Linked DNA regions of Macaca fascicularis. The protein of the gene in region 3 purifies or fractionates together with the protein of the main gene of each other region. This does not show direct contact. Links are inferred from orthologs where the notes say so. Each region holds a gene or a part of one and is shown on either strand. Other genes may lie near its edges. The genes, in order: TIMMDC1, PPP2R1A, ECSIT and PPP2R2D.

Region 1 (5,836 bases), on a different chromosome or scaffold from region 3:
CGATCATGGCTCACTGCTGCCTTGAATTCCTGGGCTCAAGGGATCCACTGGCCTTAGTCTCCCAAGTAACTGGGGCTATAGGCATGCACTACTGTGACCGGCTAATTTTCTTTTGTCTCATTCTGTCACTCAGGCTGGAGTGCAGTGGCGCCATCTTGGCTCACTGCAACCTCCACCTTCCAGGCTCAAACAATCCTCCTGCCTCAGCCTCCCAAGTAGTTGGGATTACAGGTGTGCACCACCACACCCAGCTAATTTTTGTATTTTTAGTAGACACAGGGTTTCACTATGTTGGCCAGGCTGGTCTTGAACTCCTGACCTCAAGTGATCCACCTGCCTCAGCCTCCTAAGCACTGGGATTACAAGTGTGAGCAATGGTGCCTGGCCTCTAATGCCTTTTATTTCTTTTTCTTGCCTAACTGCTCTGGCTAGGATTTCCAATACTATGTTGAATAAGACTGGTAAGAGTGGGCATTCCTATTTCATTCCAGTTCTTTGAGGGAAAAGCTTTTCATTTTTCCCTGTTCAGTATGATATTAGCTGTGAGTCTGGCATATATGGCCTTTATTGTACTGAGAAATAGTCCTTATACCCCTAACTTTTTGGGAGGTGTTATCATGAAGGGGTGTTGAATTTTACCAAATGTTTTTTCTGCATTTATTGAGATGATCATATGGTTTTTGTTCTTCCTTCTGTTTATATGATGTACCACATTTATTGATTTGTGTATGTTGCACCATCCTTGCATACCTAGGATAAATCCCACTTGTTCATGATGTATAATCTTTTTGATGTACCCTTGGATTTGGTTTGCTAGAATTTTGTTAAGGATTGTTTTGTAGAATACATTGGCCTGTAGGTGGTGGTGGTGGTGGTGTTGTTTTTTAACGTGCCCTTGTCTGGTTTTTGTTGTATAAGGGTAATGCTGGCCTTGTAGACTGAGTTTGGAAGAATTCTCTCACCTTCAATATTTTGGAATAGTTTGAGAATTGGTCTTAATTCTTCTTTAACTGTTTGGCAGAATTTAGCAACGAAGCCATGTGGTCCTGGACTTTTCTTTGTTGGGAGACTTTTTATTACCAGTTCAATCTTGTTACTTGTTATTGGTCTGTTCAGGTTTTCTATTACTTTTTGGCTCAATCTCAATAGATTATAGGGTTTCAGGAACATATCCATTTCATGTAGCTTTTCCAATATCTTGCCATATAGTTGTTTCATAATAATCTCTAATGATACGAGTATGTCTGTGGTATCAGTTGTAATGTCTCCTTTTTTGTTTTTTAACTTAATTGGGTCTTTTTTCTTAGTCTACCTAGTAGTTTCTTGATTTTGTTTGTTTTCAAGAAACGAACTTTTCATTTAGTTCTTTTGTGTGTGTGTGTGTGTTTTAAGTCTCTATTTCACTCAGCTCTGCTCTGATATTTTTATTTATTTTCGTCTACTGATTTTGGGTTTGGTTTGTTCTTGCTTTTCGAGTTCCCTCAGGTGCAGTGTTAGGTTGTTTATCTGAAACATTTCTACTTTTTGATGGAGGCATTTATTGCTGTAAACGTACCTGTGATACTTTTGTTGTATCCCATAGGTTTTGGTATGATGTGTTTCTACCTTCATTTGTTTCAAGAAATTTTTAAATTTCCTTCTTTTTTCACTGACCTATTCATTGTTCTGGAGCATATTATTTAATTTCTGTGTATCTGCACTGTTTCCAAAGTCCTTCCTGTTACTGATTTCTAGTTTTATCCTGCTATGGTCTGAAAAAATACTTGATGTTATTTTGAGCTTTAAAAAATTGTTGAGACTTGTTTTGTAGGTTAACATATGGTTTATCCTGAAGAACATTCCAAGATAAGAAAAAGGTGTATTTTGCAGCTCTTGGATGTGATGTTCTGTAAATGTCTGCTAGATCCATTTGATCTATAGTACAGTTTAAGTCTGATGTTTCTTTGTTGATTTTCTGTCTACATGATCTGTCCAGTGCTGGGAGTGCCGTGTTGAAGTCCCCAGCTATTACATTAGGGTTTATCTCTCCCTTTAGCTCTATTATTATTTGTTTATATATAAATGGATGCTCTCGTGTTGGATGTATATATATTTACAGTTATTTCCTCTTGCTGAATTAATCTCTTTATCATTATATAATGACCTTGTCTCTTTTTGTAGTTTTTTATTTAAAGCCTATTTTATCTGGCCTAAGTATAGCTATTCCTGCTCATTTATGGTTTCCATTTGCATGAACATCTTTTTCTATCCCTTTACTTTCAGCCTATCTGTACCTTTACAGGTGAAGTTTCTTGTAGTCAGTATATATAGTTGAGTCTTTAAATTCTTTTTTATTCATTCAGCCAGTCTAAATCTTTAATTGGGGAATTTAAAGTGTTTATATTCCACGTTGTTATTGTGGGTATGGATTTACTCCTGTCATTTTGTTAATTGTTTCCTGGTTGTTCTGTATAATCTTTGTTCCTTTCTTCCCCTCTTATTTACTTCCATAGTTGGTGGATTTTTGTAATTATAAGGTTTGATTCCTTTCTCGTTCTTATTTGTGTATCTATCTGCTCTACTAGTGAGTTTTATTCTTTCATGTGTTTCCATAATGGCAGTTACCATACTTTTGCATTCACATGCAGGAGTTCTTTAAGCATTTCTTATAAGGCAGTCCAGTAGTGATGAATTCCCTCAGTGTTTGCCTGTCTTGGGAAGACTATTTCTCCTTCATTTTGGAAGAACAGCTTTGCTAGGTATAATACTCTTTGCAGGAGTTTTTTTGGGTTTTTTTGTTTGTTTTTTCCTTTCAGCATTCTGAATGTGTCATCCCATTCTCTCCTGAGCTGTAAGTTTTCTGCTGGCAAATCTGCTGTTAACCGGATGGGGGGAGGTAAATGGTGGCAGCAGGCCCTGGATGGGCCAGTCTTCAGGCAGTGCACATGACAGCTCAACCACTAGAATTGGCAGTGTTGCCAGTGGTGGAAGACTCCAGGTGAATGATCTTAGAATGGCCTTAGCCAGCCATTCTTAAGCTTTTCTATCTCAAAATCACTGACCCCTAAATCACTGACAAACTTCTGTAGTTTTTAATTTTTCATTTATTTTTAAAATTTTTATTTATTTATTTTTTTTGAGATGAAGTCTTGCTCTGTGGCCCAGACTGGAGTGCAGTGGTGTGATCTCGGCTCACTGCAACCTCAATGCTTTTTTTCTCATATAGCACATAAGTCTTTGGATAATGGACTACAGCTCTTAAGAATTTCCATGTATGTGTGTGTGGTTAGCAGAAATGGAGGTTTCAAATGAAAACATTGGAAAAAAATGATTTCTTATCTATCCAATTATAATACCAAAACAGCAACAGCAGCAGCAGCCAATGCTATCTTAGGTACCCAGGAAGCTGAACTAGTGAGAATCATTTGTACTCAGGAGCACTAGATAGCAGCCTGTTATATTCATCTTACATATTGAATCTGTGCAAAGTCAGCTATCAGTCTGATTGCCCTACCCCACAAATTGCATCCCAGGAAATGATTACATGCAATAGGTAAAAGTTTTCATGCTCCTCAGTGGCATTCAGTGCATGAACCACCACTGTCCACCTAATTCCTCTGTGTCTACAGCAAGAAACAGAATCTTTGTGGAGACTTAACATGCTGTGTCTTACATACATATTTGTGCAAAAAAAAAAGATGTCACTTCTTCTCCTGTTTTGAGATGGAGTCTTGATCTGTGGCCCAGGCTGGAGCATAATCATGGGTCACTGAAACCTCCACCTCCTGGGTTCAAGTGATTCTCCTGCCTCAGCCTCCTTGAGGAGCCGGGACTACAGGCACGTGCCACCATGCTCAGCTAATTTTTGTATTTTTAGTAGAGATGGTGTTTCGCCATGTTAGCCAGGCTGGTCTCGAACTCCTGACCTCAGGTGATCCAACTGTCTTGGCCTCCCAAAGTGCTGGGATTACAGGCATGAGCCACCCTGCCTGGCTAAGGATGTCACTTTTTAAGTAAGCCAGGTAAAGCTCACTCCTTGGTGAATATTCCCTTTAGGTAATTTCCTATGCAGTCAAGAACATAGGAAAATAAAAAATATGCAAGCAAGTAAGATTTACAACATTTTAACTTAAAAAAAAAATGCAAAGAAAGACCTTTGTTAAATTAAAACTAAAATTAATGTCTTTCATTTTTCCATTCTCCTTAAATAGATTAAAAGACAATGTACAGAATGAGTTGAAGGACTCAGTAAAAATAAACTCTTCTTTGAACTGAGTGGCAGTTTAGAGTACACAAGTTTAACAGAGCACCACTATATAAGGCCTGGGGCAAGAGAGCCAAGATTCCCTGGGCTTAACATGTTCCTTACCACTCTTCCAGTTTTAGCTCATGGAGCGCCTTTCGATTCTTCTGTTTTCTCTCCTGAATAGTCTCACCAGAGTACTTCTGAAATGCCATCAGCAGGCCTCCTACAGGAGTACTGAGAAGAAAGGAGAGGGAAAGCTTAGGAAAAAAGAATCATTAGACCTTGCAACATGTGAGATTCTCTGCTAAGGTGTGAGCAACACCAGAGCCACTTGTTCACTATTAGGTATAGGAACATTTGAGAATTAAAGTGTCCTTGTCAAATAAAGAAAAACATTGAGGTAATCTCTTCTCTGGTCTGAACAACAGAGAAAAACAATCACTACAACCTCCTAAAGTTAACTGATATATAATAAAACAACAGATCTAGAAACTGGTTGTTTTTATGAGGAATGAGAAATAAATCAAAACGAAGAGAAAAAAGTATATAATTATGACAGGATCTAGTAAGTAGTCCCACACCAAAGAATTCTCAGAAATGAAATTTCTAGTTCAGAATGGCACCAGCTCCTCTAGGAGACAGGAAATGTGGAAGGCATTTTTGGTTGAGGAAGGGATGCTACTGGCTTTTGAGGGTGGGATCACCAAAATATCCTAAAGTTCAAGAGTCTGGCATAACTGTCTCACCAACAATGCCAAAAGCAACCCACTGAGAAACTGATTTAGATAATAATTGCTATAGTGATGAAGAGAATTTGGTTCTTGTGTTCTCAAACTAGAAGTATTTGACCTTCACATACCTTAAATTTCCTCCAGCTACAATTTAAGTAACCTCATACTAAAAACTACTTTTACTTGGCAACATAAATGTTCACTGACAGATGGCTAAAGAAAATGTGACATACACATACAATGGAGTATTATGCAGCCTTAAAAAAGAGGGCAATCCGTCACAGGCTACAACATAGATAAACCTCAAGGACATTATTATGCTAAGTAAAATAAGCTAGTCACAAAAGGAAAATACTGTATGATTCTACTCATATGAAGTATATAAAGTAGTCAAAATCATAGAAACAGAAAGTAGAAATATGTTTGCTGAGGGCTGGAGGGTATGAGGAGGGAAAATTAGTTTTTAACGGATATAGTTTCATTTCGCAAGAGAAAAAAGTTCTAGAGATCTCACACACAATGTGAATATACTTAGCATTTTTGAACTATACACTTAAAGTATGATTAAGATGGTGAATGTTATGCTATGTGTTTATTACCACAATATAAAATATTTTTGTTGCTAACTTCTACAAGTCTTCCCTTCAAACCAAACTGGTATATTAACACTACAACAAAAATAATGGCAGTAGTAGATTATGACATGCTGATTTTATTTAATTTAAATTTTTAAAAAATCATTAAATCTATAGCATTATCTTCTCCTTTAAAGGAGGCAGAAAAAGGGGTGAACAGGTGCAGGAGGAAGGTAGCACTCTTCTAGTCAAATACCAACTAATAAAAACAGAAGAACTGACAGAATTAGCTTATCAACATTTAC
Region 2 (5,836 bases), about 48 Mb from region 3:
AAGTCTAACAGAGTAGGGATGTGGTAATATGAGGGCTAAGCTGGTGAAATCACCTTGTCACTCAAAGCCACATTTCCCTTCCACCACCTGTGCCAAAATGTGCTCAAGCACCACGTCCTCTGCGAAACCCTTCCATGCAGACATCACCAGCCTTACGTCCCTTGCTCCTTTCTCCAGGGTGCTCCAGGCCCCTCCCTGCATCAGTTAGAATTCGGGTCACCTTCAAGTGATGAAACCCCAAATGAACAGGCACTTAACCAGTTGAATTCTCCCAGGTGACAATACTGGCGTGGCTCTTCACAGCCTCAGGGAGCCAGGCTCCTTCCATCTTGTCCTGTCTTCCTTGACCTTCACTCCTAAGATCATTTTCTGGCCCAAGGTGGCAGCTTCTACTCTAGCCATCTGGTCCACATTCCAGAGTGCAGGAGTGCAGGAAGGAGGAAAGGTGGGGGATCATGCCTTCACCCTTAAGAACACTTCATAGAAGCTGCACATACCACTTTTGTTCAACATCTTTTTGACTAGAATTTGGTCACAGTACCACACCTAATCTCAAGAGACACTAGGAAAATACCTGGAATGCATATAGTCATGTGCCCAGCTAAAAATCAGAGCTTCTATATTAGGAAGGGGAGAATAGATACTGAGAGACAACTGGTCTATCTTGCCATAGTTCTCTCTCTAGTACAATCCTGATAGACCTCCTGGGGACAGGGTCAGAGCCCAAGTCTTCTTCAAGAACACAGGAAATGGCCCACAGGGGGTTCTCTGGCAATGTACAGCTAACTCTGCTTCCCATGTTGTGTACTTCTCATGTTGAAACTGTTACACACTTACCAGGTACTAATTCACTTGGTCCTCGCCACCCACCCTGCAATCTAGGTACTAATGTCACTCTCATTTTACACAATACAAAACTGAGCTCATAAAGACTTAACAAGCTACTCCTAGTCACACGTCTATTAACTGAAGGAGCCAAAATTTGGACCCAGGTAGTCTGGTTCCAAGGCACCTGCTCTTAACCCCCAAAATACTCGGCCAACATCTATGAAACTGAACTGCACTACAGGACAGCAGCCAGAGCACCTCGTGGACCCTCTGCTCCACAGGCCAGCAGCACTCCTCGGGGGATCCCCAGAGAATTCTCTCGGGACATAGGGGTATAATGGGTCCTGTAACAAGATCTTCTCCAGAGAAAAGGGCAGATGTTATGACTCTGGGGTGGTGTCCCCTCCTCCATGCTGATGACTAAGGCCAGAGGACTGACTACTTCTAGACCTTTATTTCTCTGTGAAAAGGGGGAAAATAAAAGGAATAAAATAAAAATGGCACAGTTGACACACAAAAAAAAAACCAATGAGGGGAAGGATGGGAGGTGAAGTAAATGGGGGAGGGGTTCCCATTACAGCAGCAGGATCCAGTGACCCGGGATGCTCACATCTCTCCCCGACGTGGGCGGAGTAGCCCCTTCCTCCCAGGGTCGCTGTCCTGTCCAACCCCGTGCTCCCCCAGCCCACTGGGAAGTGGACAGTGAGACATCTTCCCAGGCTGGGGAGAGGAGGAACCGTGCTGGGGGAAGGGGCCTGGGGTCAGACCATGCACAGGGAGTGACAGCCAAAGGCCCCCCAGTGTCTCTCCAAAGAGGGACTTGTGGGGGTTGGAGGTGGACACTAGAGGCCAGTGTTTGCTCCTCTTCCAGCATCAGGCGAGAGACAGAACTAGGAAAACAGGAACAGGCAAGAATCAGAACCACAGCCCTCTCTCTGCCCACAATGCCATGGTACCTCCCCCTCCCAGAAGCTGCGACCTTGTTCTCAAAGGACAGCCTAGCACCTGTCCTCAAAAGTCCACCCTCCTGCTAGGGCTCCCTGCTTTCTAGGTCTTACCAGTCAGAGCCTCCTGGGCAAAGTATTTGACGTCCACATCCTGGTCCTGGGTCAGCTTCTCTAGGATGGGCTTGACTTCACTCTGCAGGGTGCTGGAAAGCGAAAAGGAGACAGAGAAAGGGAGCGTACTGGGGCAACAGGTGGGCACAGGGCTCTTGAGCAAGAGGGTATACACAGACATGGATACACCAAACCCAAGGTGAGAGGAGTCTCAAGAATCCAGGACATACACAGGAATGAGAAATCTCCGCTCAATGCACAGGAAGGTGACCATAGTTAACAATAATATTTTGCATATTTCAAAACAGCTATAAGAGAAGATTTTGAATGTTCTCATTACAAAGAAACGGTAAACATTTAAGGTGATAGATATGCTAATCATCCTAATTTGATCATTACACATTTGCACACATTATCAAAACACTACTATACCCCCATAAATATGTATAATTATGTGTATATTAAAAGTAAAATCAGGCCTGGCATGGTGGCTCACATCTGTAATCCCAGCACTTTGGGAGCCCAAGGTGGGTGGATCATCTGAGGTCGGGAGTTTGAGACCAGCCTGGCCAACATGGAAAAACCCTGTCTCTACTAAAAATACAAAATTAGTAGGGTGTGGTGGTGCACGCCTGTGATCCTAGCTACTTGGGAGACTGAGGCAGGAGAATCGCTGGAACCTGGGAGGTGGAGGTTGTGGTGAGCCAAGATTGCGTCATTGCATTCCAACCTGGGCAACAAGAGTGAAACTCCGTCTCAAAAAAAAAAAAAAGTAAAATCAAGGCCAGGTGCGGTGGCTCATGCCTGCAATCCTAGCACTTTGGGAGGCCAAGGTGGGCAGACCACTTGAGGCCAGGAGTTCAAGACCAGCCTAGACAACATGGCAAAACCCCCGTCTCTACTGAAAGTACAAAAATTAGCCAAGCATGGTGGTGCACACCTGTAATCCCAGCAACTTAAGAGGCTGAGACACAAAAACTGCCTGAACCCAGGAGGCAGACGTTGCAGTGAGCCGAGATTGCACCACTGCACTCCAGCCTGGGCGACAGAGTGAGATTCTGTCTCAAAGGAAAACCAAACAAACTGCAAAAAAACCAACCAACCAACCAACCAATTACTTTAAAAGTCAGAAGTATGACAAACAACAACAGACTTCTCTGGGGCCCCAAACAGGGAGATCAGAGCAGGCTGGGAAAGTAGAACAGAATCACAGAACTCCCAAGTCTCTGAGGCCCAACAAATGGGTATCTTTCATTGATTTCACACATATTCACTGAGGCCTACAATGTATATGGAATGAATACGGAGCTAAATCACTTTTTCTTGCCATGAGGCATCCGGGCCAGGAGCAAGACAGAGACCAAACTGCTACGTAAGAAGGGAGTGGTAAGTGGTCCCAAGGGAAAGTTTCTGGTCCTCCAGGAGCCCAGAGGAGGCAACCACTCTCATCTATGGGGCCCAGGGAACTCCGCCTGCACCGAGTCAATTGTTTTGGGAAATGGAGGAGGACTTCGGAGAGAAACTAAAGCTGAGGTTGTGTCCTGGAACAGATTCAGACAGAAATCAAAAGTGCAGGCTTTGTGGGTCCCCCACTTTCACTTGACAGCTCCCTGTTCTCCCCAAATAACCACTATTCTTACTTCCATCATCTCGATTCTTTCATTCTGCCTGTTTCTGAACTTGACATAAATGGTGTGTTTTCTTGGGTTTGGCTCCTCACTCAACATGGTATCTGTGAGAGCCACCTGTGTTGCCGCCTACAGCAGGCATTTGATTTTTCACTGCTGAATAGTTTTCCACTGTATGAATGAACTAAAATTTATCTGCTCTACTGTGGGCAGACATGGAGGTTTTTTCTGTTTTTATGGCTACTATGAATAAAGCTACCATGAACATTCTTCGGACAGAAACAGCACTCATTTCTCCTGGATAGAGACCCAGGAGTGGAAGGGCTGTTTCACAGGGTGTTTGTATAACAAGCTTCACCAAATTCCACTCCAGTTCCACTCCCGTTTTCAGAGTGATCAAACCCTAAATACACAGCCTCACGTGCAACGGATGAGAGTTCCAGCTCTATGTCTTCAACATTTGCACCATTGAGTCTTTTTTAATATTGGCTGTTCTGGGAGGTGTGTAGTGATATGTCACTGAGCTTTAATTTGCACTTTCCTGAAGGCTGATGATGCTGAACACCTTGTCATATGCTTACAAGCTATGTGGAGATCCTTTTTCAAGTGCCGATTCAAGTCTTTTTTCCCATCTCTTTCTTGCCCTGCCTGGTTTGTAGACAGGTATTGTGGATGAGTCCTTTCTCAGAAACATACATTGCAGACATCTTCCTCCAGTCAAGGGCTTGCATTTTACTCTCAAAATGCTGTCTTTTGAGAAATAGTGCTACATTTTACAGAAGGTCAACTTACCCATCAATTCCTCTGGTTTGCTGTGCCTACGCTAACTCATGAAGATATTTTCCTACATTTTCTTCTAGATGTTTTATTTTTTAAATCTTTCTGGTTCTGGTCTGTCATCTCAAATTAATTTGTTTATGCATTGAGGCGAGGCTTCTTTTTTTTTTTTTTTTTTTTTTTTTTTTTTTTTTTTGAGACAGAGTCTGGCTCTGTCACCCAAGCTGGAGTGCAGTGGCCGGATCTCGGCTCACTGCAAGCTCCGCCTCTCGGGTTTACGCCATTCTCCTGCTTCAGCCTCCCGAGTAGCTGGGACTACAGGCGCCCGCCAGAGGCGAGGCTTCTTTTATTCCTACATGGATATCAAATTGACCCAGCTATGTTTTTTAAAAAATATATATTTCTCCACTGAACTACAGAGGTGCCTGCTGTTAAACACACGTGGGACTGTTTCCGTGCCCTTGATTCCATCCTATTGGGCGATTTAAATATTCTTGTATTCACATCTATTTTAATTACTGTGGTGTCGTCTCTGGTAGTATAAATCATCCAACTTTGTTCATTAGAAGTGTCAATTTTCCACTAAAGAACCTGTTGAGATTTAATGGGCTTATACTGAATCTAAAGATGAGTTCAGGGAACTGTCCCACACACGAATATTATGTAGGTCTGTTTTAATTTTTTTTGAGACAGAGTCTCGCTCTATCGCCCAGGCTGGAGTGCAGTGGCGTGATCTCAGTTCACTGCAACCTCCGCCTCCTGGATTCAAGTGGTTCTCTTGCCTTCAGGCTCCCAAACAGCTAGGATTACAGGTGTGTGCTACCACACCGGCTAATTTTTTGTATTTTTAGTAAAGACAGGGTTTCGCAATGTTGACCAGGCTGGTCGTGAACTCCTGACCACAAATGATCTGCCCACCTTGGTCAGGTCTGCTTTAATTTCTCACAGTAGTGTTTTACAGTTTACACTAGAGGTGTTACACATCTTTCACTGAATTTTTTCCTGGCTATTTAATATTTTTGGTGCAATTATAAATTATACAAATACTTACATATAAAACATTAGGTGATTTCATTTTCTAATGACTTGTTGCTAGTATGTAAGACTGCCATCCCATCACCCCCCTTTCTATTTCATTCTGTGACGTTCATTTTACAGTTGAGAAAACAGACCTTGAGAAGGGAAAGGAGCCACGGTCACACAGCAAGCAAGGAGTGGTGCCGGGCCTCTGACCCTGGGCTCTACCCTCAAAGGTCAAAGATGAAGGTGCCCACAAGCCCTTGCCAGTGTGTGTGGGAGTATCCAGACCTCACCTGTTGTCCAGGATGGGCCCTATCTTCTGCAGAGACTTGGCCACATTGAAGCGGACATTGGCCACCGGGTCCCCAGCCATACGCAGAACCGTGGGCAGCATGTGCTTGGTGGTGATGTCTTGCCCACAGACCTCAGACAGCACCTGGGGGCCAGTGAGTAACAGGGGTGAGTGCAAAGCTTCTGGCTAACTCTCATCTCCCACTGCCTCTGACCAGGCCACTCTGGTGATTA
Region 3 (6,595 bases):
GAGACCATCCTGGCTAACCCGGTGAAACCCCGTCTCTACTAAAAAATACAAAAAATTAGCCGGGCGAGGTGGCGGGCGCCTGTAGTCCCAGCTACTTGGGAGGTTGAGACAGGAGAATGGCGTGAACCCAGGAGGCGGAGCTTACAGTGAGCCGAGATCACACCACTGCACTCCAGCCTGGGCAACAGAGCAAGACTCTGTTTCAAAAAAAAAAAAAGAAAATTAACCAGGCATGGTAGTATACACCTGTGTTCTCAGTTCTTCAGGAGGCAGAGGTGGGAGGATCACATGAGCCTGGGAGGTCTACAGTTAACCAAGTTCACGCCACACACTCCAGCCTGAGCAACAGAAGAAGACCCTGACTCAAAACAAAAAAAAACAAAAACAAAAAAACCCCACAGCTACTTAAAGTGTGTCCTAGGGACTGGCAGCGTCAGTGACATTTAGAAGTTTATTAGAATAGCAAAATTTGGCCAGGCATGGTGACTCACGCCTGTAATCCCAGCACTTTGGGAGGCCCAGGCAGATGAATCACCTGAGGTCAGGAGTTCGAGACCAGCTCCAACATGGAGAGACCCTGTCTCTACTTAAAAAAAAAAAAATACAGAATTAGCTGGGTGCGGTGGTGCATGCCAGTAATTCCAACTACGTGGAGGCTGAGGCAGGAGAATCGCTTGAACCCAGGAGACAGTGCTTGTGGTGAGCCAAGAGGACACCATTGCACTCTAGCCTGGGCAACAAGAGTGAAACTGTCTCAAAAAAAAAAAAAGCAAAATTTATCAGGATGGCAGCCATGAAAGTCAGAATCCACTGAACGTGTACCAACTCACCTGCTAAAAAACAAAACAAAACAAAAAAAAACAAATTATTGGCCCTATCCCAGACCTATTGAATTGGAATCTGCTTTTTTTTTTTTCCAGATGGAGTCTTGCTCTGTCGCCCCGGTTGGAGTGCAGTGGCGTGATCTAGGTTCACTGCAACCTCCGCCTCCTGGGTTCAAGCAATTCTCCTGCCTCAACTTCTGGAGTAGCTGGGATTACAGGCATGCACCACCACACCTGACTAATTTTTGTATTCTTAGTAGAGATGGGATTTCACCATGTTGGCCAGGCTGGTCTCGAACTCTTTACTTCATGATCCACCCACCTTGGCCTCCCAAAGTGCTGGGATTACGGTTTTGAGAGCAACCGCTCTCAAACACCTGGCTAACACGGTGAAACCTCGTCTCTACTAAAACTACCAAAAATTAGCCGGGTGTGGTGGCAGGCGCCTGTAGGCCCAGCTACTCGGGAGGCTGAGGTGGGAGAATGGCGTGAACCCGGGAGGTGGAGCTTGCAGTGAGCCAAGATCGCGCCACTGCACTCCAGCCTGGGCGACAGAGCCAGACTCTGTCTCAAAAAAAAAAAAAAAAAAACAAAAAAAAAACTAGTCTGGGTGACTATTTCCAAATCCATCCCAAATGCACCTCTTTCTGTCTGAAGCCACCATCTCAATCTATGACTTGGATACCTATCGAGCCTCCCACATCTGCCCTTCCCGCCTCCAGTCAGTTCTCCCCACTATGGCCAGAGGGAGCTTTTTTTTTGCGGGGGAGACAGAGTCTCATTCTGTTGCCCAGGCTGGAGTGCAGTGGCACGATCTCAGCTCAGTGCAACCTCTGCCTCCCCAGTTCAAGTTGATTCTCATGCCTAGGCCTCTCGAGTAGCTGAGACTACAGGTGTGTACCACCACACCCAGCTAATTTTTTGTATTTTAGTAGAGATGATGTTTCATCATGTTGCCCAGGGTGGTCTTGAACTCCTGAGCTCAAGCAATCCACCCATCTTGGCCTCCCAAAGTGTTAGGATTACAGGCATGAGCCATCGTACCCAGCCAGAGGGAGCTTTTAAACTAAACTTAGGTCAGGCGTGGTGGCTCACGCCTATAATCCCAGCACTTTGGGAGGCTGAGTCGGGTGGATCACGAGGTCAGGAGTTCAAGACCAGCTTGGCTGAGATGGTGAAACCCCATCTCTACTAAAAGTACAAAAATTAGCCAGGAGTGGTGGTAGGCGCCTGTAATCCCAGTTGCTTCGGACATTGCCCTCCAGCCTGGGTGACAGAGTGAGACTCCATCTCTAAATAAATAAACAAACAAACTAACTAAAACTAGTGATTTCTGCCTAAAATTGCTAACGGCACATCACACTTAAAATCAGGGACTGGGCACACTGGTTCATGCCTGTAATCCCAACACTTTGGAAGACCAAGGTAAGAGGATCACTTGAGCCCAGGAATTCAAGACCAGCCTGGGCAACATAGTGAGACCCTATCTCCACAAAAAAATTAAAAATTATCCAGGCACGGTGGCGAATGCCTGTCATCTCAGGTACTCAGGAGACTGAGGCTGGAGGATCCTTTAAAGTCAGTAGTTAGAGGTTGCAGTGAACTATGACTGCACTTGTGAATAGCAACTGCACTCTAGCCTGGGCAACATACTGAGATCCTGTCTCTAAAAATAAATAGGCAGGGAGCAGTGGCTCATGCCTATAATCCTAGTGCTTTGGAAGGCCAAGTGGGGAGGATCACTGCAGCCCAGGAATTCAAGACCAGCTCGGACAACATAGCAGGACACGATCTCTACAAAAATTGTTTTAAAAAAGTAGCTGGACCTGGTGGTGTGCACCTGTAGTCCCAGCTACTGGGAAAGCTGAGGCAGGAGAATCACTTGAGCCATGGAGTTTGAGGCTGCAGTGAGCTATGATTGCACCACTGCACTCCAGGCTTGGCAAACAAGGGAAATCCTGTCTCTAAAAAATAAAAATAAATAAATAAAATCAGACAGGGTCTACCCCTCTCTCTCAACTCCTACCACTGGCAGCTTCAGCTACACTGTTTCTGAAATAAACTAAGTTTAACCCATCTCAGAACCTTTGTACTCGCTTTTCTCTCTGTCTAGAGCTTTCTTCCTCCAGATCTGCCCACAGCTGTCTCTGGTCATTTCAATGAAAGGTCTTCTTTGACCACCTCCCATTCCCCATATTTTTCTAAAAGCCCTCATCGACCTATTAATTTTTGTTTGTTTGTTTCTGAGACAGGGTCCTGCTCTGTCCCCCAGGCTGGAGTGCAGTGGCACAATCACGGCTCACTACAGCCTTGACCTCCTGGGCTCAAGCAATCCTCCCACCTCAGCTTTCCGAGTAGCTAGGACTATAGGCGTGCACCACAATGCCCGCATAATTTTTTGTAGAGAACAGGGCCCTGCTATGTTGCCAAGGCTGGTCTCGAACTCCTGGGCTCAAGCGAAATTCCCGACACCATTAACGCATTTTTAGTAACTTATCAGTATCTGAAATCACCTGTTTCGTTTATTTGTGATTTGTTAAAAGTCTGGTTCCCCCAGGAGATGAAGGATTTTTATCTATCTTCCTCATGGCTGTGTCTCCAGCGCCCAGGACAGTGCCTGGTATACAGTAGATGCCTAACAAGTATCAACGGAACGGAAACAAGAGCTCAATTTCAACAAAACACCTATAAATCTGAACCCCGAGGTACAGTGTACGTACAGCAGCTCTGAAACCGGCTGCCAGGATTCTGGGTCTCTTGGGGGAAACAGGCAGACGTAGATTCCAATTCCTGCCCGGTTGCCGACTTGCGGCGTGACCTCTGGCGAGGACTTTAATCTGGGTCAGTTGTTTTCATCTGCAAAACCGGAGACTGGGGGCGTGAGGCGGCTGGCACAAGAGGGGCGGCCTTTCCCAGCGCGTCCCCGCCCCCACTACGAAAGGTCACGGCGCCCTGGCCCTGCAGCTGGGTCCCTCCAGGGCCGCCCTCTCGCGCTGCCGGGTCCTGAAGGGTCCGCTTAGAGCCCAGCAGTTCGCGCTCGCCTACCCGCGTGCGACCTACCTACTCACGCGGCCAGCCGCGGACTCCAGGCCAGCTCTGTCTTCTTGCTGGGCGCCGCCATATTGGCCCAGAGAGCGTCCGGGTCAGGGAGCGCCAGGGAGGCAGCTAATCAAGAAAGCTGGTGTAATAGGTCCCGCCCACAAAGCGAGGTGCGCCAATGGGAAGGCGGAAGGGCCTTAGACCCGCCTCATAACGAGCTGGGCCCCGCTTCTAATGAGTCAAGTGTCACTCCAGGCCTGGGAACCTTGAAATGGCCCGGGAGGCTGGACTTGGGAGTCTGTGAATCCAGCCGCAGGCTCCAGGGGCTGAAATGAGAAAATGAATTTTAAAAAAGTGAAAGGAGGCCGGCACGGTGGCTCATGCCAGTAATCCCAGCCCTTTGGGAGGCCAGGAATTCGAGACCAGCCTGGGCAACATAGCGAGACCCCCTTCTCTACAAAAAAGTTAAAAATTAACTGGGCGCAATGGCGCGTGCTCATAGTCCCAGTATTCGGGAGGCTGAAACGGGAGGATCGCTTGAGCCCTGGAGGTCGAGGCTACAGTGAGCCATGATTGCACCCCTGCACTCCAGCCTGGGCAACACAGTGAGACCCTATTTCTTTTCTTTTTTTTTTTTTTTTTCTTTTTTTTTTTTTTGAGACGGAGTCTCGCTCTGTAGCCCAGGCTGGAGTGCAGTGGCCGGATCTCAGCTCACTGCAAGCTCCGCTTCCCGGGTTCACGCCATTCTCCAGCCTCAGCCTCCCGAGTAGCTGGGACTACAGGCGCTGCCACCTCGCCCGGCTATTTTTTTTGTATTTCTTAGTAGAGACGGGGTTTCACCGTGTTAGCCAGGATGGTCTCGATCTCCTGACCTCGTGATCCGCCCGTCTCGGCCTCCCAAAGTCCTGGGATTACAGGCTTGAGCCACCGCGCCCGGCGAGACCCTATTTCTAAAATTAGTAATAATAAACAAACAGGGCCGGGCGTGGTGGCTCACGCCTGTAATCCAGGCACTTTGGGAGGCCGAGGAGGGCGGATCACCTGAGGTCAGGAGTTCGAGACCAGCCTGGCCAACATGATGAAACCCCGTCTCTACTAAAAATACAAAAGTAGCAGGGCATGGTGGTGGGCTCCTGTAATCCCAGCTACTCAGGAGGCTGAGGCAGGAGAATCGCTTGAACCCGGGAGACGGAGGTTGCAGTGAGCCAGGATCACTCCACTGCACTCCAGCTTCAGCAACAGAGCGAGACTCTGTCCCAAAAAATAAACTAAATAAGGCCGGGCGCGGTGGCTCAAGCCTGTAATCCCAGCACTTTGGGAGGCCGAGACGGGTGGATCACGAGATCAGGAGATCGAGACCATCCTGGCTAACACGGTGAAACCCCGTCTCTACTAAAAAATACAAAAAACTAGCCGGGCGAGGTGGCTGGCGCCTGTAGTCCCAGCTACTCGGGAGGCTGAGGCAGGAGAATGGCGTGAACCCGGGAGGCGGAGCTTGCAGTGAGCCGAGATCCGGCCACTACACTCCAGCCTGGGGGACAGAGCGAGACTCCGTCTCAAAAAAAAAAAAAAAATTAAATAAATAGGCCGGGCGCGGTGGCTCACGCCTGTGATCCCAGCACTTTGGGAGGCCGAAGCGGGTGGATCATGAGGTCAGGAGATCGAGACCATTCTGGCGAACACGGTGAAACCCCGTCTCTACTGAAAATACAAAAAAATTAGCCGGGCGTGGTGGCGCGCGCCTGTAGTCCCAGCTTCTAGGGAGGCTAAGGCAGGAGAATGGCATTAACCCGGGAGGTGGCGGAGCTTGCAGTGAGCGGAGATCGCGCCAATGCACTCCAGCCTGGGCGACAGAGCGAGACTGTCTCAAAAAATAAATAAATAAATAAAAATAAAAATTAGTAGGTCGTGGTGGTGAGCTCCTGTGATCCCAGCTACTTGGGAGGCTGGGGCACGAGAATTGCTTGAATCCAAGAGGTGGAGGTTGCAGTGAGCCAAGATTGTGCCACTGCACTCCAGCCTGGGCGACAGAGTGAGACTCTGTCTCAATAAATAGATAGATAGATAGATAGATAGATAGATAGATAGATAGATAGATAGATAGATAGGAAGGTCTCAATGAGGCGGCCTTTGAGTAAAGGCCAGAGGAAGTGAGTGAGCCTTCTGGATATCTGGGGAAGGCTTTTGGCACTGGGAACAACAGCAAAGACTCTGTGTGGTTGGAATGGAGTAACTTAGGAGGAAATGTGATAAAACGAGGTGAGATTGAGTAATGGGGGCTCCTGGTCTCCCCCAGAAAGCACCAGATTTAGGCTGTTAGTAACTAAGGTGGATAAGCACATAAAATGGGCTATTGGCAATAGCAGTGGCCCCCAGAAAGAAAGGCTATCTGTCCTCATAAGCCCATTTCTGCAGTCCCTCAGCTTCTGTGGTGCAGTGAGCTGGCATGGGGACTAGGATGCAAGAACCTGCTCTTAGGCTGCCTCAAGGACTCTGCGCAGCCGCAGGACATCCACCTCACCAGAACTCCTGTGATTGGGCGATCTGAGAAGACCTGTAGCCAATCAGCTGCTTGGCTGGAGCACTCCTCCTTGGCAAGTTGACAGGCATGTGGGTAGCGGCTGGGAGTGCTACTGCCCTCTGCTATGCTCCCGCAGATACAAGCAGGCAGAGTCAGCTCTGCTTAGCTGGGGAGTGGGTAAGATGGTGGGGTCGCTGACCTGGCTGTGGCC
Region 4 (5,836 bases), on a different chromosome or scaffold from region 3:
TCTGTGCTTGCTCATTTATCTCAGCCCGCACGGCTCTGTGGCTTACTGGTGCCCTTCTCCTCTGGTTGGCATGCGTGTGGCATCTGGTTCACTACCACCGTGTTGGAGCCGCCACATCGCTGTGCCGCGCTCCTCGGGCCCGTGCCGGCTCTCCTGTAGAGCAGACTCTGCAGACGCTTTCTCTCCAGGGCCAGATTGCAAACATTTTTGCCTCTGTAGCTCATGCGGCCTTTTCACAACCACTCACCTCTACCCAGATGGTACAGAAGCAGCCAGACACAGTATGTGCACACATGGGCCTGACTGTTCCACTAACACTTGCCTTAAATACAGCAGGCAGCATTTGGCAGACCCTGCTCCAGATGCATACCTAGAAGTGGAATAGAAGAGTTGGAAATCAGGTTCTTTCTTTTTTGTTTTTTTCCCCAAAACATTGATTCTGAGTTTCATCTGTTTGAGATTTTTTTGAGCCAGGATTTTTTAGCTTTAAAAAATACGTATGGTCATTTGATATTCAAATTTATAGTACAGAAATTTTCTCTGCACTGTGCTTTGTTCATTAAAACAGCTCTCATGTTTCTTTGCAGAACAAAAGCCGCCCTCATTCTAGGGGAGAATATAATGTTTACAGCACTTTTCAAAGTCATGAACCAGAGTTTGACTATTTGAAAAGTCTAGAAATTGAGGAAAAAATTAATAAAATTAGGTGGTTACCACAACAGAATGCTGCTCATTTTCTACTCTCTACAAATGGTAAGAATTGTTTTCTAAGTGGCTGATTTAGTGTTTTATTTTTAATTTTCTGTGTGTGTAGATTTCTTTTTATTTTAGAAGTTAATCCTGCTTTAAATTTTGTGGGGAGGGTAAGTTATCTAGGGTAGCAAGTGATAGGTTGAAAATTCAAAGTATGCAACAAAAACCACACGTGCAAGTTACTAGGATGTTACTCTGCACGTCTCCACATCTTTGTTTATTGTGCAAAACACCTCCAATTGGAAATATTCATGTTCAAAGACCCCATAGCTTATAAACCAACATAGGGCCACACCGCTTTCTAATATAATACTCAAACAGTAGTGATGCATGTTACAGTTTTTCTTTTCATATGGAGAATGAGGTTTTTATTTTCAGATAAAACTATAAAATTATGGAAAATAAGTGAACGGGATAAAAGAGCAGAAGGTTATAACCTGAAAGACGAAGATGGAAGACTTCGAGATCCGTTTAGAATCACAGCACTACGGGTATACGTTGCCTTTTCTTTATCCAATGCCGTTCAGAAGTTAAGAATAAACGTTTACGTCTGCTGTTTGGAGAGTCCTGCTGGGTGGAATACTGTGAGGTCCACCTCCTGAGTCATGAAAGGCATTTGCGCTCATGACACATGTGTTTAAAGCAAGGTCTTTCTCCTATTTTCACAAAGGCAAAAAGTCACATGTGGTCTTTAGACAATACTGCAATACTAAGGGGAAAACTCACATCTAATTCTACAGCAGAAATCTTGGTGGACGTACCGACCACCCTTCTCTCTGAAGGTTCGGAACAGCACCTGGCAAGTTGAAGTTCAGATGGAATTCCGAACACTTCGCAGGTGAAACAGCACAGGCTGCAGATCGAAAGATAGGCTGTGGGCCACCAAGATGCATTCAGAATGTTCTCATGGCATTTCTTTGGGGTTGACTTAGGCAGATGCTGACAGTTCAGAACTCTTCACCTGTCCGTCCATGAGCATCATTACTTTTTTAATTGTTAAGTTATTTGCTCCATTGTTGGCGCCCCCCTATCCCCACCCCCCCCCCCCCCCCGCATCATGCAGTATGAAATGACCATATTTCGTCAATTCCAGGGCCTAGATTTTTTCACATTTTAATATCTATGAAATCGGGTAAAACTTAAAACCTCAATGTCTTATAATTGGCCTGGTGCTACGTACGACTGATGTGTGTCTTAAATTAGATGGAACATGGTGAAGGGTGTCCAGCAAACTGGACTCCAGCCCGGGTGTGTCTTGGTGAGAAACCAGCACCTGTGCAGAGGTGTGTCCCCTGGAAGGAAACCCTGCCTGGTCCCAAGGGAGTGCCATTACTAGATCTGAAAACGGTTGGTGGGTGGGTGGGTGGGTTGGCTGGTTGGTTAATTGGTTGGGTGGTTTCGTTGCCGGGGGGGGTGGGTGTGGCTGGTTGAGTTGGTTGGGTTGGGTGACTGGTTTTTAATGAGATTTCAGCCCGTTACGCTATTGTTTATCAAGTGAAGCCGAGTGAGCGAGCCCATTCCACATTAGCCTTTGAAGTGCTACAGAGAAGGACGCTGAGCTGCAGAAGCCTTTCCCTAACACACGTGCCCCTGGGAGTGACGCTGGGTCTGTTCTGATGCCATTTCTCCAGCTTTGCCGTGCGGGGTGGGTGCACCTGGGGTCGTGCATTTCCCAATTTCCCAGGAGGAGTGTCCTCAGACTTCTCACATCGAGGTTATCACCCTGTTTCCTATGAGCTCATCAAAGTGAGAAAGGCTGTGGCATGTGCTGAAAATGTAGTTTATAATGTGAGCCAAGATGTTTCAATCCAAAATGGTGGTGGTGTCTGATACGCAGTGCCGCTGCCTTTGCATCCATGAATTAGTGTAAATCATTTTTAGTGACAGTAACACGAGTTGTGCAGTTCCTTTATCATGAAACTGCTGACCCTAAAGTAGAAGTGTGATGGGACCCCTGAGGGTGGGCACTTGACCCCCTCCAGTCTCGTCCATCTCTTCTACAGGCAACACCACCTCCCACCCAGGTACCTGTGCATACCCCACCCTCAGAAACCCCTGTTCCTCCCGATCAGACCCTGCCACAACCCATGAGTTCACATGCTCATTTTGGGAAAACAGTAGGCCTTTACTAGGCCCAGTCTTGGTTTTATTCAAGGCTGCTTTTGTAGGTTTAGCCTAAATAAAATGGGTATAATTGGTGGCCCTACTGAAGGCTTGTGAGAAGTATAGTTATTTCATTAGTCAGTGCATGGGGAAGAGACCACAGACAGGTAATTCTGTACAATGACTTAGGTCAGTATTTGAGATTGTACCTCTCTAACAGTTCAGAATGGGCTATTTATGTATCTGAGCCTAACTGGGTAAGAGTCAGAAATGTTGCTATTTTTAAATTTTTGCTCTTAAATTATTTTAGTGCCAGAAAAGGGATATAATTAAAAGAAGAAATCTTGGCCAGGCACGGTGGCTCATACCTATAATCCCAGCACTTTGGGAGACTGAGATGGGAGGATCACTTGAGCCCAGGAGTTCAAGACCAGCCTGGGCAACATAGCCAGACCCCATCTCTAAAAATGAAAACAAATTATTTTATATGTAAATTAAAATTTTTTAAAATAAAAGAAGGAATCTTTGTAAGTATTGCAGCCATCATGTGTTTTGATTAATGGGAGATTTGTTAGAGGATTGTGGCAGGTGTGTGTTTTTTAAGCCTGAACTTCATTGAACTGACTCTTCTTGATCTAAAGAATCCAAGGCTGTGGTCAGCACTAACTGGGTTAAAATGGGGGAAGTCTCACTACACACACTTCTCCACGTTCGTTTTTTACAGAATTTGGCCAGACAAGACTCAGTTGAGAGATTTTTTTTCCCTAAGCTTTCAAGGCTCTCCCTTTTGGTTTCTAATTACAAGAATAACAAAAAATACTCTCATTAATTTTTTGTTTTGATTTTAAAGCTTATGTTTTTCTTCCAGCTGGGTGTTAGGGAGATGCAGACCTTTGTCCTTTTTTCATGTGTGATGCTATTCCTCACACCTGAGCTCTCACCTCTGACCGCAGGCGGCCTCCAGCCAGCACCCTTCTCCTCTCTGTCCTTTCCATTTCAGTGTGAATTGGGCTTCCCTAGAAGCCTCCCTGACCGCCGCACTCGACACAGAGATGGGTGCGGGAGGTACCTTTTACTTTTTGTTTTAACCTCAGATGAAGTGTAATGAATAATACATACCTCCAAATAATATGTCTGCCCTATAAGTGACCAGCTCCATGAATGTTTGTAGACTGGACATGCCCATGTAGTCAGCCCCAGACCAATAAATGGAACATCCTCAGCTCCCCAGCACCCACCTGTGCACCCTGCCAGTCCCTGGAGCCGGTGGAGGCTTGTGGGGTTTGCACCAAGAAGCATAGTCCTGGTGCAGTGAGAGGAGTTTTGTGCATGTAGCTGCAAGGAGAGGACAAAGGGAGGGGCTCAGCTGAGCCACCCAGGAAGACTTTGCTGTCCAGCGTCTCAGTGTGGCCACCAGAGGACGCATAGGAGAGGGAGCCGCAGGCCTCGGTGCCTGGGCAGCTTGTACCGTGCCAGCTGATCTTCTTTTCTTCAGCAGGAAGAAAATGTCGACCTCGGTAATGGAAGCAAGGGGGAACACTTGGAATAGACAGTATTCAATTTTGTAGCGTATTTTCATAACTCTGCTAATTGGTTATTTGGGGGTATTGCCTGAACAGAATTATTAGCCGTGAATATAAACTTGTCCTCTTTCGTTATCTACTGTAAGTGTTCTAATTCCATGCTGCTGTGATCTTTGTTTTGAATTCCTATTTCCTTCCATTTTTAGGTCCCAATATTGAAGCCCATGGATCTTATGGTAGAAGCGAGTCCACGGCGAATTTTTGCAAATGCTCACACATATCATATAAATTCCATTTCAGTAAATAGTGATCATGAAACATATCTTTCTGCAGATGACCTGAGAATTAATTTGTGGCACTTAGAAATCACAGATAGAAGCTTTAGTATCCTTCCTCAGAGGGACACTGGCGTTTTCCTGAGGGTGCTCTTTAGATAGTGATTTCTCTTGTTCCTTTATACACCTGTATCTCAGAGTCTGGTCTTGTAAATACCGTCGCTGCACAGCAGCCTGTGATATAAGTTCTCTGTGATTTGAAATGTTTGTCCCTAAAGATACAAATTTCTTTCTACCTTTGGGAAAAAGTTATCTGTGTGATGGGAATTACCCGAAGTCCACTGCTTGCCTGCTTTAGTCAGAGACAATTTTAAATAGGCTGCATTTGAAAAACCAACTTTATGTGGTTTTTTTTCTAAATTTGCTGCATTTGAAAAACCAACTTTATGTGGTTTTTTTTCCTAAATTTGCTGCATTTGAAAAACCAACTTTATGTGGGTTTTTTTTTCTAAATTTGCTAACGGATGATAGAAAATACTGGCTTAGGTTAGAGCGGTGTTTAATCACCCATCTGAGCAGCAGCTTCCAGTTAGAACTTGCATTCTTCTGTGGCCGTGCACGGTCTGGGCGGCCCCAGCCCTCCTCATATGGGCCCCTTTCCAGCCAGCAGGCGGGAGCAGGGGGCTTGCTTCATCTGCAGCCTCTCCAGGGTCCCTGCCGTCCTCCCTCTGCTGTCCAGCGGCTTGAGCTGGGGTTCCATGTCGTGTTGGTTTTCTTAGTTGTTTCAGCTTACGGGGTGAAACGGGGCCGCTGGTCTGAGTTGACCCACAGCTGAATTCTGCCCTTCCTTCCTTTTTTTAGTCGAAGGATTTCTGTATAGGGCAGCCTGCCATGTTGGATCTGCTCTAACTACACAGAATAAACTTCATGTCAGGAAGAGCAACGTCTTTTGCAATATGGCGGTTTTCTTGCATTTGTAGTTTTGTATGGGAGTGTGGGATTTTGCACAGATGGTGCTAGCTTGCTCTTCCTATTTATATGATTAAGTATGTACTATCTTGCTATTAAGGGCTTTCTGTATAACAATAATAACAGCAAGATAAAAGTGGTGTTCGTGTGTCGGGGTCTCCCCCGGGCCGGGGCGTTGCTGCCATCTGAGTGTGCTCATCCCAATCCTCTTAC

Evidence for each region.
Region 1: the proteins of ECSIT (region 3) and TIMMDC1 purify together in Homo sapiens (affinity purification with mass spectrometry; 3 studies listed by BioGRID and IntAct, counting the BioPlex papers as one, with this or other methods). This does not show direct contact. The link is inferred for Macaca fascicularis from reciprocal best matches to the Homo sapiens genes ECSIT and TIMMDC1.
Region 2: the proteins of ECSIT (region 3) and PPP2R1A purify together in Homo sapiens (affinity purification with mass spectrometry; 3 studies listed by BioGRID and IntAct, with this or other methods). This does not show direct contact. The link is inferred for Macaca fascicularis from reciprocal best matches to the Homo sapiens genes ECSIT and PPP2R1A.
Region 4: the proteins of ECSIT (region 3) and PPP2R2D purify together in Homo sapiens (affinity purification with mass spectrometry; 3 studies listed by BioGRID and IntAct, counting the BioPlex papers as one, with this or other methods). This does not show direct contact. The link is inferred for Macaca fascicularis from reciprocal best matches to the Homo sapiens genes ECSIT and PPP2R2D.

What each region holds. Positions count from the first base shown.
Region 1 is NC_088376.1:163,655,777-163,661,612, forward strand, and holds part of TIMMDC1 (complex I assembly factor TIMMDC1, mitochondrial), read right to left. Parts: intron 4,460-5,836; coding exon 4,349-4,459; intron 1-4,348.
Region 2 is NC_088393.1:59,991,330-59,997,165, reverse strand, and holds the end of PPP2R1A (serine/threonine-protein phosphatase 2A 65 kDa regulatory subunit A alpha isoform), read right to left. Parts: intron 5,748-5,836; coding exon 5,605-5,747; intron 1,979-5,604; coding exon 1,887-1,978; intron 1,719-1,886; coding exon 1,702-1,718; 3' UTR 1,264-1,701; downstream 1-1,263. UniProt on the Homo sapiens protein: The PR65 subunit of protein phosphatase 2A serves as a scaffolding molecule to coordinate the assembly of the catalytic subunit and a variable regulatory B subunit.
Region 3 is NC_088393.1:12,099,636-12,106,230, forward strand, and holds the start of ECSIT (evolutionarily conserved signaling intermediate in Toll pathway, mitochondrial), read right to left. Parts: upstream 3,970-6,595; 5' UTR 3,885-3,969; intron 3,798-3,884; exon of another isoform or gene 3,545-3,797; intron 1-3,544.
Region 4 is NC_088383.1:140,987,074-140,992,909, forward strand, and holds part of PPP2R2D (serine/threonine-protein phosphatase 2A 55 kDa regulatory subunit B delta isoform), read left to right. Parts: intron 1-587; coding exon 588-753; intron 754-1,131; coding exon 1,132-1,244; intron 1,245-1,493; exon of another isoform or gene 1,494-1,591; intron 1,592-4,585; coding exon 4,586-4,763; intron 4,764-5,836. UniProt on the Homo sapiens protein: Substrate-recognition subunit of protein phosphatase 2A (PP2A) that plays a key role in cell cycle by controlling mitosis entry and exit. Involved in chromosome clustering during late mitosis by mediating dephosphorylation of MKI67.